Linked DNA regions of Coturnix japonica. The protein of the gene in region 1 interacts with the protein of each later gene in a pairwise test. Links are inferred from orthologs where the notes say so. Each region holds a gene or a part of one and is shown in the gene's direction. Other genes may lie near its edges.

Region 1 (4,207 bases):
CCAGCTTCAGGACTGCTGGAGCGGAGTCATACTGTGACAGAGTTGGCACATTGGGTTAAAGGTCGTATCACAAGCTTCAGAATTAATACCAATCCATGTCAGACCCTCAGAAATGCCTTAGCTACGATTTCTTACATAATTAACATTTCTTACATAATTAAATAAAATGATCATCCAGCTGATCTGTAACATTTTTCTAAGGCTGTATTTTAATCAACAAGAAGAGCTGTATTAGCAGTCACCTTTCTTGCCATATAGAATGCTTATTATTGCTTAGGAATAACAGAAGTGGAAAAATCCAGCAAGATTCAGATGCAAAGAGATGTTATTATCTCTAGTTTCATCCTGAACCACAGTGGAACAATGAAAGGCTACAGATGGCAAGTGTGTAAGAGTTAGGCTTGATCCTTACAGGTACCTTACAACTTTGGATATTCAATGATTCTATTATTCTAATTGATTTGCAGTTCAGGAACTAGAGGCTGCTATAAAAACTGAGCTGGAAGTGACATGCCCGAAGCACTTTGCATCCTTGTAATTCTGATTGCAGAATAGCCCATAAATAAGAAGAAATGCAAACACCCCTGATGAGGACTGCCTGAAAGCATGCCTGGCTTAGCTGTAGAATCACAGAATAGCTTAGGTAGGAAGGGACCTTAAAGACTAAGCTCTGCTCCCCTGCAGGGTTGCCATCCACTAGAGTCTTGCTCCTGCTTATAAGTGCCTTTCCAGTTCTGGAAAGCTACAAAGAGATCTCCCCGCAGCCATCTCTTCTCCAGGTTGAACAAACCCAACTCCTCCAGTGTTTCATCACAGAGCAGGTGCCACAGCCCTCTGAGCATCTTCACGGCCCTGCTGTGGGCCTGCTCCAAGAGCTCCACATCCTCCTTGTGCTGGGGCCCTGGGCCTGGACATGCTACTCCAGAGACTGCCCTGAACCCAGAAAGTCACCCAGGACTTGGGGTGCTTCCCAGAGCCTGCAGGGTCAGTACATGGCCTGAGCCCAGTGGGGACACCCCAAGGAGCACTGCAACTGGCCAGAGACTGCCAGAGGCCCTCAAGCCCCACAGACGGAGACCAGAGGTTGCACTTTTCCCTTAATTTCCATCGCAATCCTGCTCCCTCGCAGCCAGAGTGCATCTCCCTCAGCTGCGGGGAGGGCCCACAGCTCCTTTTTGCTGTGTGGGGCACAGAGCCGTAAGCATGGTATCTGGGGCGGAGAGGAAGAGGAATCTTACATCTAGGGACTCCAGCCTCCCGCTACATACAGCTCAGTGGCCCCTGAGGAGTTAATGGCGGCAGGAAGCCGCCCCCTGCCAGCCCTGCCCCGTGACTCGCTTCCTCCCACAGACGGGAACTGGGAGGAGTGAGCGGCTCCGGCCCCGCCAGCGCAGCCAGCCGCCGTGCCCGCAGCCTGCGGACTGACTGACGGACGGACAGCCGCGGCCGCCCCCGTGGGGAGCGACGCCCGCAGCCGAACCCGGGGCCCCTCCGCCCTGCGACCCAGCGCCAAGATGCCCGCCGTGGACAAGCTCCTCCTGGAAGAAGCTCTGCAGGACAGCCCGCAGGTAGCGGGAGCAGAGCCGGCCCGGGGGGCGCGGCTGAAGCTGTGCGGGTCGGCGGGCGGGGAGCGGGTCGGGAGCGGGGAGAGAGGCGTCCGCGGCAGAGAGGGACGGCAGGGGCCGGGGGGCGGCTGCCGACCGGCGGAAGAAATGGGCAGGGGGGTTTAGCCCGTGGGATGCTCTGCGGCTGGTGGCGGCCCTGTGGCGTCGGGGGAAGGCTTTGGCTTCCTGACGGTCACCTGTCGGGGAAAAACAGGTGATGTCTGCGTCTGTGGGCAGGTCGGGGATCGACGCCTGTTCTCGTCTCCATGGCTTTTCCCTCACGCTGTCCTATCCGGAGTGTGCTGGAGGTGAGGTGTGTTTGGGCACGGCATGTTGCCCTAACTCCCTCCTGGTACGTGGGGGAAAGAGGCAACAGAAGTAGGCTAGTGAATCTGGCTGCCAGTGGCCACGCTCCTCTGCAACTTGTGAATGGTCCCAAGGACTGCACGTCAGATACAAGGGCTTCCCTCGGGGGTAAGTGGGCTGAATCCTACTGAAGGTGACCTCGTTCTAAATGAAAGGAGGCCAGGCAGTTGTCACTCTTTCCTTCCCAGTCTTTGCAAGCTCTGTGCTCCCATGCTAGCACCCACTCCTCACTGCAAAAAGCAGTAGTAGCACTGTAGAAAACCCATAGCAGAGAACATGACATGTCAAGATGGCTGGTGGGCGTTCCAGGGAGATGTGAGGCCTTGGGAGCTGGCAAGGGAGGATGAGAGGAGGGGTGGAAGAAAGAAGTAAGGGGAAAGAGAGAGTGGAAATTTCCCAGTAGGGTGGGGAAGGTACACTTGAGGTCAAAATGCAAAGCAGGCAGAGATACAGAAGTAGTGGGTGAAGCAAAGGAGAAGAAAGAAGGGCAGGGTGGCTTTGCTTGGGTGCTGCTCCCAAGTATCCCCATACTGTAACTGGAACTCATCTGCTGATGGGCCAGGAGGAGGAATCAACAGGCAAACTGTGGAACAGATGGCTAAAAGGTGTTACAGAGTCTGTCATGAGACATTTGAAGGAAAGATTGGACTTGCACCTGTCAGGAGTTAAGGAGTCTTAAGGCTCATCTTGAGCACTTCTTAACCTTTTTTCCTGTGATTTCATGAAAGCTTACCTTAATAAGAATGATTTTTTGTCAAATATTGATGTGTCATGGAATCTCAAAGCTTGAGTATTTTCAATACTCAACTGGGAACAGTATTGAAAAGCCTGATGCCTGCTTTGAGCAGGGGTTGGACCAGAGGGCCTCCAGAGTTCCTTCTGACCTGAACTGTACAGTATTCCACTCTGTACCAAAGTGTGCTAGATTTATTATGAGCAGTTATTAATGTTTTTAATAGCAACCTCCCCTGTGTATTATGGAGCTAAAGAACTTGACACACAGGGTAGGTGAACTCATTTTCCTCTTCAGTCAACGCTTCCTTCGATGATTAAAAATGTAACACTGAGTGAAAGCAGCTGAACAAAGCACCAGATTGAATTTGGAGGTCTTAGTCTTTCTTCTGACCTGAAGGCTGTTAACAGATCCTTTTCAATTACTGGAAATACTGGGCTGTGCATAAACCTGGTTGTTTGCAGGTTGTTTTGGCTTGGGTTGGTCATCACTTCTTCAAGTTCTGTAACTTTTCCCTGTTCCTCTCTGAGCTGGATACTACAAAATCGAAGCAGACACAGTCTCTCTCCCACAGAGCTTGCAATGTAGAAACTTATATGATCATACTTACACATAAAGTGACCTGATTCTCTTCAGCCTCATGCAGTCACTGACAGAGGGGTAATAAAATGAGGACATAACCTCATGTTTTAGAAAGTGCATGAGGTATGCAAATTAATAGATGGTCTTAATGGTTCCTTCCAGCCCAAATCATTCTGTGATTCTATGGTTCAGGCAACTGCTTTTTAATTTGGAGGATGTTGATTTTGAGTTATTCAGGACTGATACAATCTTGATTGGCAAAAAATAAGCATCTTGGGAAAGTACCTCTTGTTAATGTGGTGGAGCTACTTAAAACCGTGTTAAGGCTCTCCAGTAAGTTTGCCACATTGGCACCTGGGTACTTCAGAGATATGAGAAGGCTGCTGTAATAGGAGGATGGATAAAGTGCTCCCTCTGTTAATAGTAAGGTAGTGGAGTTTATGTGTGCCCCTCAGGTAAGCAGATGAATCTAATTGGAGCAGAATAAATTAGCTGTGCAGATGGGAAGACATTGCTAGTTAGCATCAAACTCATTGGATTTACCAACGTTAAGACTAAGGATGAATTGTGACTTTGTTAAAGGGGCTTTGTCTCATTTAGTGACATTGCAATATTGTGTACTGGAGCTCAGTGTTACTCTGTGTTATTTTACTTCCCCATTTCAGAAGCAACATACTTCACAGTTCCTGATGATTCCACCAAAACAAGCCAAGGGGATTCATGTCTTTAAGATAATACTTGTGGCTATGCTCTTTTTTCCACTCAATTTGTTGCCAAGCTGGCAGAATGGAGAAAGTAGGGGGTATCTCTGAATGCGTGCGTACTTGTGTGCCTGCTGTTGTAGGTGAGCACTCAGTTGTTTGGTGTGGTTATGTCCCCTAGCTTTGTCAGTGGCCCTTTAAGAGTTGCTCAAGACAGCTGA
Region 2 (3,630 bases), on another chromosome or scaffold:
TGCTTTGCCACAGGGGGCTGTGAGTGATCTGCTGTTCTACCTCAGTCCATGTTCAAGCCTGGCTGTATTAGAACTGAAATGAAAGTATGGCGTTATTCTTGCTGGAACAAGAAAATAACTGGTTTCTAGGCCAAGGAGTGCAGTGTAACTGGGCTGACTGCAGTGCTTTGGCACTGAGGCACTCTGTGAAGCTAATCCTCAGGGTGCTGCAGCTGTATTGTGTGGTCTGGGTGGTGACCCCTGGGGGTGGGTAGCAGTGTAATGTCAGGCTGCTTGCTGGGTGCTCGGAGCCACCTTTCTGTTGGCAGCCTGCTGCCTGGTGGCTCTCTGGTTCCCTCACATAAGTAGCTTGTAACACAGCAGAGCTGTGACTTGCACAGCAGGTGGCAGTGTGCTGGCCTGGCTGGGGCTTCTGCCAGCTCTTGTGCAAAAGCAGAACTGCTCTGAGCTGCTGGCTCTTGCTGGAGGAGCTCTCCAGCTGGAGACAAGGCAAACATCTCTTCTCTTTCAGCTGCCTTCCTAACGCAGACAGTTTGTCTGGATGACACAACGGTGAAGTTTGAAATATGGGACACGGCGGGACAGGAGCGGTATCACAGCCTGGCACCCATGTACTACCGAGGTGCTCAGGCAGCCATTGTTGTCTACGACATCACTAACACAGTGAGTACTGCACCAGGGCCTGAAGTGTCTGCTGGGAGGGAGGCATCTGCACTTATATCTGATGCTTCTCTGTTCCATGGGAGAGTTCTGGGCTTAGGGCTGCTGCAGATGCCTGCCTGCAGGTACTGAGTTTCTTAAACTCGCCACTTCCTTGTTTCTGATCAAGGCTGTCTAAGCTGATAAAGAATCCTGCTACAAAGTGCTGTAGAAGCAGAATGCTTCTTACAGGAAAGACTTGTTCTAATCATATCTTCATTGTGCATTATTAAGAGGCTGCCTTTCCTGACTGCCTCCTTTTTACTTCCAGGACACATTTGTACGAGCCAAGAACTGGGTGAAAGAGTTGCAGAGGCAGGCCAGCCCCAATATTGTAATTGCACTAGCAGGAAACAAGGCAGACCTTGCTACCAAGAGAGCTGTGGATTTCCAGGTAAGTGGGAATGTGGTTCAGCTGCTACCTGAGCAGCCGGGAAAGCAGCTCTCACATTGAGGTGTGTTAAACTCCCAGCCAACCAAAGTACAAGGTGTTAAGTTGCTTGAGACATAGTGTCCACATGTAGCTCACAAACAATCTGTGCTGCTGTATCCTGGCTCTGATGCTGGCACCTCAGCCATGTGCTCCTGTCAGTACTGCACGTCTATCAGCTGTCCTGGCCAGGCAGGGCTTGGGCTGGGGTGGAGGTGCCCAGTTTGGGCTGGGCAGAGGCTGTCTTCAGTGTTTAATAATGCCAGCAAGTGGAGTATGCGGAGCCTGCATGTGCCTCCTCCTGGCAGGATGCCTTTATCACTCTAACGTTATTGTTTCTAGGATGCACAAGCTTATGCAGATGACAACAGCTTGTTGTTCATGGAGACGTCGGCCAAGACAGCAATGAATGTGAATGAAATCTTCATGGCAATAGGTAAGTGTGGTGTGAAAGGGCTGCCTGGAGGAGCTCTGAGCACTGGCAGTACAGCCCACTGAAAACCACAGGGTCTGTGTCAGCTGGGTTCTGGAGGCTCTTACTGGAGTTTATGTGTGACCAGGTTGTTAGACCTGTGTGTGTGGTCACCCAGGTAGTGCAAACCTTGTTCCCTCTCTCCCTTTATCTGGAGTGAATGAGGGTGGAGCAGAATTGGTGACAGCTAAAAGCAGGTTTAATGTACTTGTGCTGCCAGCAGTGTCCTGAGAGCTGGAGGCTGGAGTAGAGCTGAGCTCAGCGTGTGGTCTGCAGTGGGGAGGAGGCTGGCCTCTATAAGAGCGACCTGCTGATACCTTGCTTCTTTCCTAGCCAAGAAACTGCCAAAAAATGAACCCCAGAATGCTCCAGGTGGTCCGGGCAGGAATCGGGTGGTCGACCTTCAGGAGAGCAGTCAGCCCAGCAGGAGCCAGTGCTGCAGCAATTGAGCAGCTGATCTCGCCCGATGGAGCCCTCGAAGGACGTGACTGGAATCCACGCTAACAATCGCACTTACCGTAGAGCAGCTGCTGCCGGTGGCTGCTGTGATTTCTCCATCCCTTTCTGATCATAGGCTGGAGGGAGTTCTTCCACCTGCACCTTTCTGTACAAATACTAATTCAATTCTAAGTCTTAAGTCACTTTTTTAATATATGAACTTCTGCTCTTCCCTCTTCCTGGTGGTGGTGGATGCACGACCTGGTGTCTGCCCAGCCAGCTCATCCCTCCCCACGGGTGAGGGCCAGCAGCACCCAGGTCCCACAGTACTGTAGTTCACTATTGGAAACAAAGGGATATTGAGACTAGACAGCCTTGTTTAAAGTTACCCACGTGTAAAAGCTGAGGCGAATACCAGTACGATATGCCTAGAACAACCACTAAACTGTAGCATTATAGTGACAAACTCCGGCTCTTCAGCCACTTATTGACCAAATCAATTATGAGTATTTTGGGGTGGGGCAGAGGGAAGAAAAACTGATTTCTTCTGTATTTTGTATTGTATGTTTCTTCATGTAACCAATCAGTATCTTGTCAATATAGAACATACAACTAGCTGCCTGTTGTCTTCATTTGTGTTGGACTCTCGCATGCCAACTTCTTTTCTCTCTGGTTCTGTCATACTGCACTCATCCTGTTGCAACTTTTGCAAAAAAAAGAAAAAGAGAATCTTGTATAGAAAATTGTCTTTTTTTGATGGTTGTGATGCCACGAATGTTAACCCCACCCTGGTGTGAATACACGTGGTTTACTGATGTACAGAAGTGGGGCAGGGGAAACCTCGGGTGACCTGTCAGTGAAAACTGTGTATTGCAAAAGCCTGTAATCCCACACGGTGTGAAGGGAGGTATTAAAATGGCTTCTCTTGCCAGACTCTAACTGATGTTGGCTGCTGCCTAGTGCCTAATGCAGTGTCTTATGCATACTGGTATTTAAGAGGAACTGTCAAGCTACTCTTCATCACAAACTTCAGTTTTGTGTGATTAAAGGAAAATTTTTATAAACCTACCACGATCAACAATGTTCGTGTTTCTTAACAAGCAGGAGGGGAGCGGAGTGGAGCAGAACATAACAGGCGTGGTGAGGCCCAGCTCTGCAAGGTGAGGGAGGGATTCCCGCATGGAGCTGCAGAGCCCCTGTCTGTTATGAGGAGCTGGAGCTGGTTTGCTGGCTCATCACAGTGTACAGCAGCATGATTGAGGTAAACAGTGAGAACTGCTCATCACTGCACTTCTGGGCTAACTAGCTATAGCAGGAGCTGAGGAGAGGTGGGAGGAGCAGTATGCATAGGAATGGGGAGTTTACACGACAGCTGGGTGAACTTAGAGATAGTGTGCTCAAATATTGGTCAGCAAATGCCTCTAGTATCTAAAGATGCTAATGTCATGTTTCTGTGTGGCTGTTCATGTGCTGGAGGAGCTCAGAACCCTCATGAGATGTCAGAGATCCCATCGCTTCCAGGATGGTTTGCTGGTGCTTCTGGATTCCCCAGCAGCGAGAGGGACCCGTTGGACAACTGTTACCGGCTCCC
Region 3 (2,945 bases), about 43 Mb from region 1:
TTTCAACGTGAAAAAAACCAACAACAAATGTGATATTTTTCCTAAGCAAAATTTTTCTAACTTGTGATTTTTATTTTAATGTAGTAATAGTTAATAATATGATGCAGGTTTCTCTTTGTTTTTATCTTTTTCTAGGTGATTACAAGTGAGGAAGCAGAGAGACGAGGCCAGTTCTATGACAACCAGGGAAATACGTACTTGTTTGACTTGGACTATGACTCAGATGAGTTTACAGTAGATGCAGCTCGATATGGAAACGTGTCCCACTTTGTGAATCACAGTGTAAGACCTTGGTTTCTATCCTGACTACTTAGAGAATTATCCTAATTGGGCCAGAAATATCTTGTCCTACTGCAGATATTTTCATACTATATTCACAATTCTTTCTGAAGTTTTTCATGCCAGTGCAATCTAGGCAGTTAGACGGCACAGTGCAATGATAGAATGCAATATCACAGTATCATAGTATCATAGTCTTGTGCGGGTTGGAAGGGACCTTAGAGATCATCGAGTCCAACCCCCAGGATTCCAGCCCCTGTGTAGCAGAGCGGCACTTCTGCCACTTGTGCCACAGGGGGATTCAAACCCAGGCCTCCAGTGTTGCAATGCAGCATTCCTACCACTGCACCACCGGGGCACACTGTTGAACTGAAGTACGTTAAACACGAAACCTTAACTATGTAAAGAAATTATAATGATGTTTAGTTCAATAGTGATCTGCTCGTTACCGATGTGTGCAGACTCTGTTCTACAAATATAGCACTGGAAATACAGTGCACTGCATCTTCAGATCCGTGAGCTGAAGACATCACTGGTATTTCATGCAGGCTGGATGGGGAAAAGCATGAGAAGTCTTATGTATGGTCTGCTCTTCCCTTTTGAAAATGGTAACAAAACATTCTTGCACTTGTAAAGTTAAAAGTCTGACTTGAAGTAACACTATGTGTTACTTGTAAAAAGCACGTCTGTAGTTTAACTGCAGTTTAACAGGCGTTTCAGTGACTATTGACTTCTGAAACTTCATCTGTCGAACATGAGAAAGCAGCTTATAGCTCACATGTAGTTTGCCTGACACCTCCCCTCCTGCCTGTACCAGATAATACAAAGCTGAGATTAGCAATTAAAAATAGTTACCTGCAGTATGAGAATATTATTTCTGGCCTAGAAGCAATGTTTGCACTCATTATTCTGCATTTATGTTTGTGTGGCTTAAGGTGCTGTGTTGGTTTCTTTTTGCATATTATTGCTCTTATTATTAAGCTTATTAATTATTTGCATGGATTTAGTCAGTACTTCACCTTTGTCTTTTTTTGTTGCTGTATTTTGAAGTTACCATTATTTTAAGTAGGCTGTTATATACTAATAGTCTCTGTACTGTGTGAAAGTTGCCTTCTTGAAAGGGCTCGGCCTTAAGCTCTGAATGGTCTCCGTTAACGCTATTTCAGAACTGTTGATTTTGGAACACAGATGACTTGACTTTTAGACTTCTGTCACTAAGCACCATTTCTCCCTCTCCCGAATACGTCAGTGAAATTTACTGTGCATTTCTTTAACAGAAACTTCATTAATTTTTGCTCCACAGTGTGATCCAAATCTTCAAGTCTTCAATGTATTTATCGATAACCTTGACCTGCGTCTTCCTCGAATAGCACTGTTTTCCACAAGAACCATTAAGGCTGGAGAGGAGCTGACCTTTGACTACCAGATGAAAGGTCTGCAGGTTTTATGTTGCTCTAGAGGGAAGTGGGGGGCAGCGGCTGATGTTGTTGCAGTCTGACTAATGTCGATGTTTTAGGTCAGGCATTGCATCTCACTAGATGTCCCTCACTGACAGCGCACAACCAGAAGCTTTGTGTGCACCTCTAGTGCATTACTTCCTTCAGCACTCCAGGTTCAAATCAAGAGGTTGTGTTGGAACCTCTGACAAGGTAGCTTGCTTTAAAGATCGGTCGCAGGACTGCTCAGAATCATGGTCAGGACAAAAAACATATTTAAGCTTCTTTTTCTTGAAGCTCTCATTTCAGGTAAACCGCTAGAGAATCTCCTTAGAAGCAACTGCTGAGTGATGTAAGGTACCGTAGGTGCATATAGTGATTGTTATGCAGAGACTTTGGGAAGAAATGTTCTTGGTAAAATGTTACCAGTTTCTATGATAATCGACTTTCCATTCAAGAATTCTATTTTCTTTTTCTTCCTTTCCCCAGTACAGTATAAGATGTTTGAACCTGGTTGGCAGTGGTGTTCTCTGTGTCAAACTGTGCATGCTTGTAAACCACTAAACCACATCATATTGTTTTCCCAGCTAATTCATTTCCAAAGAAGTATCTTTATGCTCCAGAGCTGAACCATGTTCTTGCCGAAGCTCTCTTTCAATACTGACCAAGTTCCCTTATTGAAATCTCTTTAAACCTCCCCCTTTTTTTTGTGATGCTTGTGATGCTGATGTTCAAGGCAGACTGTGGTCTCAGCTGACCAACATGCCTATAGGCTTGAGCTCATCGAGCTTTGGATGCTGACATGTGTGACAAGTGTTGGATAAGCAGTTGTAATGTGGGTGTTGGTAGAATTCAGCATAGCTTCACACACAATTCCTTCAAGAGCTGGGGTGGCAGAAAGCTTTTTGAAGCCGTTTGTCTTGAATTCCGAGCGCAATTTCAGTCTTTCCATTCAAATGTTCTTATTTGTGTCTATCTGTGTTACAGGTTCAATAGATCTGACTTCAGATTCTGCTGATGGTCTGAGCTCATCCAGAAAGAGGATCAGAACAGTGTGTAAATGCGGAGCTGTGTGCTGCAGAGGTTATCTCAACTGAGTTTGAGTACCCAAAGTCACAAATACTTGGTTCTCTTCTCTAAGAGTTTTAAGGAGACTCTTCTTTCATACATATATTATTCTTACAGCTTATGTAAAGAAATACAATGAAAGCAAGATGCAATGTTTGTAAT

Evidence for each region.
Region 2: the proteins of APPL2 (region 1) and RAB5C interact in binary tests that used the Homo sapiens proteins (3 or more experiments, as listed by UniProt). The two-hybrid records come from large-scale screens. The link is inferred for Coturnix japonica from reciprocal best matches to the Homo sapiens genes APPL2 and RAB5C.
Region 3: the proteins of APPL2 (region 1) and SUV39H2 interact in binary tests that used the Homo sapiens proteins (3 or more experiments, as listed by UniProt). The link is inferred for Coturnix japonica from reciprocal best matches to the Homo sapiens genes APPL2 and SUV39H2.

Annotation. Positions count from the first base shown.
Region 1 is NC_029516.1:49,570,345-49,574,551, forward strand, and holds the start of APPL2 (DCC-interacting protein 13-beta), read left to right. Parts: upstream 1-1,338; 5' UTR 1,339-1,514; coding exon 1,515-1,568; intron 1,569-4,207. UniProt on the Homo sapiens protein: Multifunctional adapter protein that binds to various membrane receptors, nuclear factors and signaling proteins to regulate many processes, such as cell proliferation, immune response, endosomal trafficking and cell metabolism.
Region 2 is NC_029542.1:4,452,097-4,455,726, reverse strand, and holds the end of RAB5C (ras-related protein Rab-5C), read left to right. Parts: intron 1-511; coding exon 512-663; intron 664-970; coding exon 971-1,093; intron 1,094-1,471; coding exon 1,472-1,565; intron 1,566-1,934; coding exon 1,935-2,050; 3' UTR 2,051-3,107; downstream 3,108-3,630. UniProt on the Homo sapiens protein: The small GTPases Rab are key regulators of intracellular membrane trafficking, from the formation of transport vesicles to their fusion with membranes.
Region 3 is NC_029516.1:6,627,732-6,630,676, forward strand, and holds part of SUV39H2 (histone-lysine N-methyltransferase SUV39H2), read left to right. Parts: intron 1-135; coding exon 136-282; intron 283-1,582; coding exon 1,583-1,712; intron 1,713-1,795; coding exon of another isoform or gene 1,796-1,866; exon of another isoform or gene 1,867-2,702; coding exon 2,703-2,812; 3' UTR 2,813-2,945. UniProt on the Homo sapiens protein: Histone methyltransferase that specifically trimethylates 'Lys-9' of histone H3 using monomethylated H3 'Lys-9' as substrate.